Neurospora crassa OR74A: one gene and its partner. The protein of the gene in region 1 interacts with the protein of each later gene in a biochemical or structural test. Links are inferred from orthologs where the notes say so. Each region holds a gene or a part of one and is shown in the gene's direction. Other genes may lie near its edges. The genes, in order: arp-3 and NCU10777.

The links.
Region 2: the proteins of arp-3 (region 1) and NCU10777 form a complex in vitro, tested with the Saccharomyces cerevisiae proteins (2 studies listed by BioGRID). The link is inferred for Neurospora crassa OR74A from reciprocal best matches to the Saccharomyces cerevisiae genes ARP3 and AIM7.

The regions. Positions count from the first base shown.
Region 1 is NC_026502.1:2,534,586-2,538,792, forward strand, and holds arp-3 (actin), read left to right. Parts: upstream 1-1,441; 5' UTR 1,442-1,633; coding exon 1,634-1,668; intron 1,669-1,751; coding exon 1,752-1,774; intron 1,775-1,841; coding exon 1,842-2,069; intron 2,070-2,118; coding exon 2,119-2,165; intron 2,166-2,222; coding exon 2,223-2,309; intron 2,310-2,371; coding exon 2,372-3,205; intron 3,206-3,261; coding exon 3,262-3,327; 3' UTR 3,328-3,489; downstream 3,490-4,207. Other genes in the region: NCU01757 (asparaginase), read right to left, coding at 1-145, 200-429. UniProt on the Saccharomyces cerevisiae protein: Functions as ATP-binding component of the Arp2/3 complex which is involved in regulation of actin polymerization and together with an activating nucleation-promoting factor (NPF) mediates the formation of branched actin networks.
Region 2 is NC_026504.1:5,112,000-5,115,352, reverse strand, and holds NCU10777 (GMF family protein), read left to right. Parts: upstream 1-1,406; 5' UTR 1,407-1,549; coding exon 1,550-1,552; intron 1,553-1,688; coding exon 1,689-1,791; intron 1,792-1,884; coding exon 1,885-2,018; intron 2,019-2,136; coding exon 2,137-2,325; 3' UTR 2,326-2,587; downstream 2,588-3,353. Other genes in the region: NCU08824 (molybdopterin binding domain-containing protein), read right to left, coding at 25-335, 400-494, 562-606, 663-671, 747-839; NCU08825 (cytosolic Fe-S cluster assembling factor nbp-35), read right to left, coding at 2,613-3,353. UniProt on the Saccharomyces cerevisiae protein: May be involved in mitochondrial organization and biogenesis.

The DNA.
Region 1 (4,207 bases):
ACATTCGACAACTCCATCCATGTTGAGATTACTTCCGAAGCCGGCATTCGTAATCTCTTTGTCCTCCAAACACCTGATAGCAGCTTCGACAGCCTCGGGGGCAGAAGCACCGGCTTTCAGAAACCTCATGGCGACACGGGAGGCTCTAGTTACAACCGCATCAGCAAGGGATCACCTGATGACTCTTGACTCAACTTACTCGCTGCATGCTTCCAAGTGAACCTTTTCATTCGTAATGCTATGGTACCCTGCACCTGCGTGGACAAAGATTGCCGCAACTGGCTTCGTCGTACGCTTCCATATCCTTTCGACACCACCGTCCAATCCGTATTCATGATCACCAGACCAGTTTGACTCTGAGGAGCTGTCCGACATGTCCATATCTGATTCAGGTGACCCATGGCCGGGCTCGGCATTTTTGCTGCTCATCGTGGGCGCAGCTGTGATAGAACGACTCGAGGAGATAGTCGAAGCAGCGTGTGATCTGGCGAGGTCGAGTTGTCTGGTAATCGAGCATGTGTCTTTCAAGCGAGTCTGTATTCTGAGGGCACATAGAGTCCTTAGTTTTGGTGTGTCATGGGTGACTTTTGTGCCTTGGGACAAAGATGGGCGAAAAGACTTATCGAGGCAAGGGCGAAGAGTTGGAGAAGATCGGAACGGGTGGATGAGATGAAAAGGGTGGTCGGACTTGGTGTCCCTCGTAAAAGCAACCTGCTAAAACAATGAATGGGAATAATGCTCGGTAGTGATAATGTCTTGAGGGGTATTTGAGATTGGAGCGATGCCCAATGAGCTAGATGATGCACTCAGGGTGGCCCGAGGGGTGAAGAGTCCCTTTGGATACAGTAGGTGGGCGGGATGAAGATGTGTGAAGGCAAAGGTGGCAAAATACAGAATACGACAGAGAGAGAGAGACGGAGAGAGAGACGAAACGGAATGTGGACACTGGACAGGTTGATGATTCGTTGTGATAAGTGAGAAGCTGTGAGTGTGTGTAGCTTCTCCGCAAAGTGGACTTGCTTCGAGAGGATGAAGCTGAAATGAATCCGACAGAAATGGCAGGTGTGAGGGAATCTGGCTGGAGGTGATTTTCCATTCAGTATCTCCTTCCTTCTTAGAAGGACACATCCTGTCTGGCTGGCCTTGTCGCTACAGTTTTGATACCGATCGGCCCCACTTTTTCCTAGCCATCATCGTCCGGGCCCGGGCCGTGTGCTTCAAACTCCGATGCTTGGGACCGGGGCATCGGTTAGGTTTCGGGGGGCTCGGATGGCGCGCAGGTGGCAGCGAGGTGTTTGGTTCCGTCATCTCCAGTTATGGCGTAGGTCCCGTCGCTGGAAATGCACAACTGACTAAATGGACCGCCGTACCATACGGGGACCTCGCGGTCTTGGCGCACAGCCGCACAGGTACCTCCACAGTACCACGCAGCGCTGTCAGCCAGACGAGTAAGGAGAGCTAGCTCGGCCAGGCACGTACAATCTTGGACATCAACCTCCATTTCCCGCCTGGCCTATCCACTACCCATCCACGCTCCCGCCCCGTCACTTCATCCATCACCAACTAACAACAGCCGTTGCTTTACCAAACCGCAATCATCACGAGCTGCGCGTAGCAGCACACCACCGCAACAATGGCCAACACAACCCCCGCCGTTGTCATGGACAAGTACGTGCATCCAAGTGTCCCGTCTCCACCCCGCCCGCTCCTTAACAGCTCCGGGGCCGTCATCGCTAACATCCCCTAACCAGCGGCACGGGGTTCTCCAAGCTAGGTTCGCGACTCCGACACCCCAAGATATCCAATGACCACCGATTGACCAAGCTCTTCGTCGTCTGCAGGTTTCGCCGGCAATGATTCCCCCTCGTTCGTATTCCCGACGGCCATCGCGACCAAAAGCCCCTCGGCAGGCACCGGCGGCTCGGGCTCTGGCCGCCCCGCCGTAGCCAACAAGCCATCCTTCCTCACCGGCGGCGCGGGTCCAGGTGGCCATCTCTCAGCAAAGCGCGGAACCGAAGACCTCGACTACTTTATCGGCGACGAGGCCGTAGCGGCCGCCAATGGACCTGGTACGTTGGTCTACACCGCCTCAACGGAAATGGGTGCTGACGGTGTTAGGCTACGGGTTGCACTATCCCATCAGACACGGACAGATCGAGAACTGGGTGCGTTCAGGCTGCTAGATGGCATGTCACAAATGCCTAGAGCTAACTGGAGCTTAGGATCACATGGAAAGGTTCTGGTCCAACTCCATCTTCAAGTATCTGAGAGTAGAGCCTGAGGACCACCACTTCCTCCTCACTGAGCCCGTAAGACTACACTTTCCAAGCCACATCAGTACTACGTCTGCAGCACTGACACGTCGATTCAGCCTCTCAACCCTCCCGAGAACCGCGAAAACACCGCCGAGATCTTCTTCGAATCCTTCAACTGCGCCGGTCTCTACATTGCCGTCCAGGCCGTTCTGGCCCTTGCGGCTTCCTGGACATCATCCAAGGTCCAGGACAGATCCTTGACCGGTACTGTCATTGATTCGGGTGATGGTGTGACACACGTTATCCCGGTCGCCGAAGGTTACGTTATCGGCTCGTCCATCAAGTCGATCCCTATTGCCGGTCGCGATATCACCTACTTTGTCCAGTCGCTTCTCCGTGACCGCGGCGAGCCCGATTCGTCCCTCAAGACGGCCCAGGAGATCAAGGAGGAGTACTGCTACGTCTGTCCGGATATTGTCAAGGAGTTTGCCAAGTACGACCGCGATCGCAGCCGATTCCTGAAGCACACCATTACCCAGCCCGGTGGCCGCCAAGTTACGGTTGATGTTGGCTACGAGCGTTTCATGGCGCCCGAAATCTTCTTCAACCCCGAGATTTACTCGTCCGATTTCCTTACGCCCCTGCCCGTGGTTGTTGATGGTGTCATTCAGTCTTCGCCCATCGATGTCCGTCGTGGTCTCTACAAGAACATTGTTCTTTCGGGTGGCAGCACGCTCTACAAGGACTTTGGTCGCAGGCTACAGCGCGATATCAAGCAGCTTGTCGATACGCGAATCAAGGCCAGCGAGGTGCGCAGCGGTGGAGCAAAGAGCGGTGGTCTTGATGTCCAGGTTATCACCCACAAAAGGCAACGGCACGGCCCGTGGTTTGGTGGTAGCTTGCTCGGTCAGACGCCCGAGTTCCGGTCGTACTGCCACACCAAGGCAGAGGTATGTTTCTTTACCCTTTTACCATTGGCAGTCTGGTTGCTGACGGATCTTTACAGTACCAAGAATATGGACCCAGCATCGTGCGCAGGTTCGCTCTGCTCGGAGGACCTGGTGGATCTTAAGCGTAGTTATTTGTGTACAGGAGCGAGTCCGCATCTTATTTGGCAGGCAGCGGGCGCCGATGCTTATATAATGGCGATGAATAGAAAAGAGGAACTACTTAATGCTAGTGAAGTTGGGTCAGCGTAGACGGCCAATGTGTCTGTTGTTGTGTTGATGTTTAGGAATCCGTTGCGCAGAGCAACGGTCCCCTTAAAAGGGGGGCTTAATGGTACCGATCGGCTGGTTCCGGAGGCGGCGTGCCAAGCCATTGACGGCATTCACTGTAACTCTCGGTAAGCAAGGATGTGTCAGCACCACGACCACCGGTTCGCGCCGGGTGGCCTGATATGGCCCGACAGTTCTGGAACTGGCCGAACTCCCATCGGGCAAGCTAACCGATAGCTTCGCATCAGTTTCACAACTTGCTGATTTTTCTCTTCATTTTTTCAATGTTGTTCCTATTCTCAGCCCATTGATTAGATTCTAATCAGGACTGGGCTCGATTGTCATGTTGAAAGATGTTGCCTGACATGCTCGGACGTCACCTCACAGTAAACCGACCGTGTTCCCAGAGAGCATTCACAGTTTGGAGGGTTCAGTGATCAGATTGCTTACTTTGCGCCGGGCAAGGAGCAAAAGGTTATGCAACTTTCTGCATGCCTTCATAGAGGTCGGTACCATAGGTATGGGTAGGTAGGGTAGGTAGTACGACAAGAATGCGGGGAAGAAGCTTCGTCGCTGAAACCAGGGGTTCCAGACCGTCCTTTGGTGGCTTACAAGCCAAGCCTCCTCGTCACCTGCACCGGCTAAGTTTGCTGTTTTGAGGCTTCTTCGCTCGAGCGGAAGTTGACTTTTATTTTTTCCTTTTGTTTTCCTTCGTGTTTGCTGGAAACGATAATT
Region 2 (3,353 bases), on another chromosome or scaffold:
TGGGGATCGGAAAAGGAAACATACACAACCTAGGCACGCCCGGCAAGATGTGCACATTCCCATTAACCACCGCAACTGGCACCCAAAGTTCCTTGCAAGGAAAGAGGAACTGCTTCGCCAGGTCTCTGTTGACGTCTGTCGGTAGCTCCACCATACGGAGCTTTGCGGTGAGAACGGGCGAGGGCTCGTCCCAGTTGAACGGTGGCTCGCCCTTGCGAGGAACAGAAAGCTTCTTCATGAGTTTAAAAGCCTCTTCGTTCAGCTTGAGAGGCAAACCGAAGGCTTTGGCTATCGATTGGTAGGTAATGTCATCGTGGGTGGGGCCGATGCCTCCGCTATTGTTCAATGAGGTCAATGATGTGTCCTGGACACTCGAAGAAAACTCGGTGTTGGTAGTACCTGGTGACTACAAAGTCATAACGGTCACTCATACGGCGGACAGCCTCGACAATTTCATCTTCGTCGTCGGCGATGACTTCAATCCTCTTGAGATTCTGATATGGGGCATCTACAGTGAGCTTGGTTCTTCTCGGGACTTTAGAGTGGATGGCTGGAGCTCACGATTCCCAGGTTGAAGCACCATTTTGCCATGTAGTTGGAATTAGTCTGTAGTAAGTCAGCATTGGCGCGTCAGGGCAAAAATTTACGAGTTCTCGACTCACATCTTTGGTCTACACAACAACAGAGAACAGCTGTTAGTCTCATTTTCGGCTATCACCCTACTAGCACGTCTTGACTGGACCTGCCTTTCCACCCAAAACCTCATCACCGATAATCAAACACGCTGCTGTATGGATAGTCCGCGCATTGCGCTCATCTGCCGTGACTGTTGAACCCATAATGCTGTTGAAGAATGCTGTTGAAGTCCGGCGCGGAGCTGATGTTGATGGGGCAACAAATGACGTTATCGCTGGCCGTAACAAGTGCCGAGCAATCTGGGATAAACGAGAGAACATGAAGGTTTTAAGTCCAGGAGAAGTTTGTCTTGTAAGACAAAACAGATTTTTGAGGTTGAAATAACAGAAGAGAGGATTGAGAGGGAAGTCCACTGCAAGATCACAACCACAATGGGAATGAGATCGGGTCTCCGGCTTGTCTTGCCCGATGCGTGGTCGCGGCACTGGTGCCTGCCATCGCCGTCCATTAACATGATCCCCGCCCAGGGAAGGAGGCTAGGCGGCGCCTTCCCCGCTCCGTTTTAGCGGGTCAAGCTGTTAAGCTTCCGCGGGCTAATGGCCGGGACAGCCCCGCCATCAGTGAGGAATCGATAACAGCTTACGCTACGGGGCAGATACCTCAGCAGTTGAGCTGTGGACTTGGCAGTGATGCCATGCGGGGCCGACTTGCGTCCCTGGGACGGGAGCCTGGACGAGGGCGGTGTCTTGTACATGACAGCTCAATGCGACATCTTTTCGAGCTTCAACTCTTTTGCTACTATCCCAAAGCTTTGCGACATTGCCTGTTCCCCTTCGATTTCCCTCGCGACCACTTCCTTCTTCTTGCCGTCCGAATCTTGCGTGTTCGACCGACCCGAAAACAGCTCTTCACAATGGTGCGCCGCCGCTTTCCTACCTATCGCAACATCCGATCCATCCACACCACCAGCTCCTCTCTCCAGCTTCTAAGCTCTTGAAAGAAAGCAGCTTCTCGAGATTCTCAAGAACCATAGCTGATGCCGAAAATGCCAGGCCTCCGAAGCAAGACTCTACACTTTCTCCCAAGAAACCAAAGACCACCTGCGCAAGTTCCGCCTTGGGACTTCGCGCTCCAACGACCCCCAGGCCGTCATCTGTATGTATGTTCCCGTTATCCCCCCCCGGACCCTATCTCTGGCTATCGGTACAGCAGGTCAGAAAAAACTAATAGGTGTATCGCGCAAAACAGACCTGATCGATAAGACAACCAAAGAGATCAAGCAAGACGACGACAAAGTTGTATACAAGACCCTCGAGGAAATCGGCGATGACCTGCCCGATCACAGTCCGAGATTTGTGTTGTTGAGTTATCCCCTAACTCTTGTAAGCCGCCCTACTCGTCGCCCTGCTCGTCAAACATATATATCCACCTGGTCTTCTCGAAGAATGGCTGGGTGTAATGGAACAGATGAGAACTGCGACTGACAATGGCGTGGAACAGCCCTCCGGCCGACTATCGGTGCCCTACGTTATGCTCTACTACATGCCCTCGACATGCAACAGCGCAATGCGCATGTTGTACGCGGGTGCCAAGGAGCTGATGCGCAACACGAGCGAGGTGACTAAGATTATCGATATCGAGTCGCCGGAGGAGCTGGAAGAGATTCCGGCCAAGCTTGGGGCTGCTTAGACGTGTGGCAGTAAAGGGCGCCGAGCTGACAGCCTTATTATGGATGGACGGACGGGCACAAAGGTTGGTCTCCAGAGCGACCAACAGGGCCCGGCGTGAGCTTTCACACAGAGCTGGCAACTGGGACGAGGAACAAGCAAAGGGAGGCCATTTGGAATGGAAGGCAAAGTACAGCCAGATTCTGGATCATTCATGATCTTCTCGTTATATAAACGCCGTGATATCCCAGCCTTACAAAGCCAAAAAGCAGTCCCTGAACTCCGCCCATGCTATGGCCATTACTTCGCTCAAGCGTCATCCTCCTCCGGCATCACGACCTCCGGATCCAATCCCATCTCCGTCGCCAGCCCCTTGACCACCCCCTTCAAGGCCCTACACGCCGGGCTATCCGGGAAGCTATCAAAGAAGCTCTCGCCATAATCGCACGCCATGCCAATCCTCGGATCAAGCGGCACGCTCCCCAAAAACGCAATCCCCATCTCCTCCGCAAGCTTCCTCCCGCCACCTGTCGTTGCCTTAAAGATCTCGCTCTCGTGCGTGCACTTGGGGCACACAAACCCGCTCATATTCTCCACCAGTCCCAACACCTTGATCCCCGCCTTCCGGCAAAAATCAATCTCCTTCCTGACATCCAACAGGGACACTTCCTGCGGCGTGGTAACCATCACAGCGCCATCAATCCCGCTCTTTTTCAGGTACGTGTTCACGCTCAAGTGCTCATCCGACGTGCCGGGCGGCGTATCCACCAGCAGGAAGTCCAAATCGCCCCATTCCACATCCTTCAGAAACTGCTTGATCAGCCCGTTTTTCTTGGGCCCGCGCCAAATAATCGCGTCGTCGCGGTTCGGCAGCATGAACTGGATGCTCATGACAGCTAGATTATCCATTGCCCATGCTGGACTCCAGCCCGTGCTGGACACATGAATCGTCTCACCCTCTACGCCCAACATTTTCGGTATGGAAGGGCCGCAGATATCGGTATCCATTACGCCCACAGTTTGTTCGGCATTCGTCGCAAAGGCGTGCGC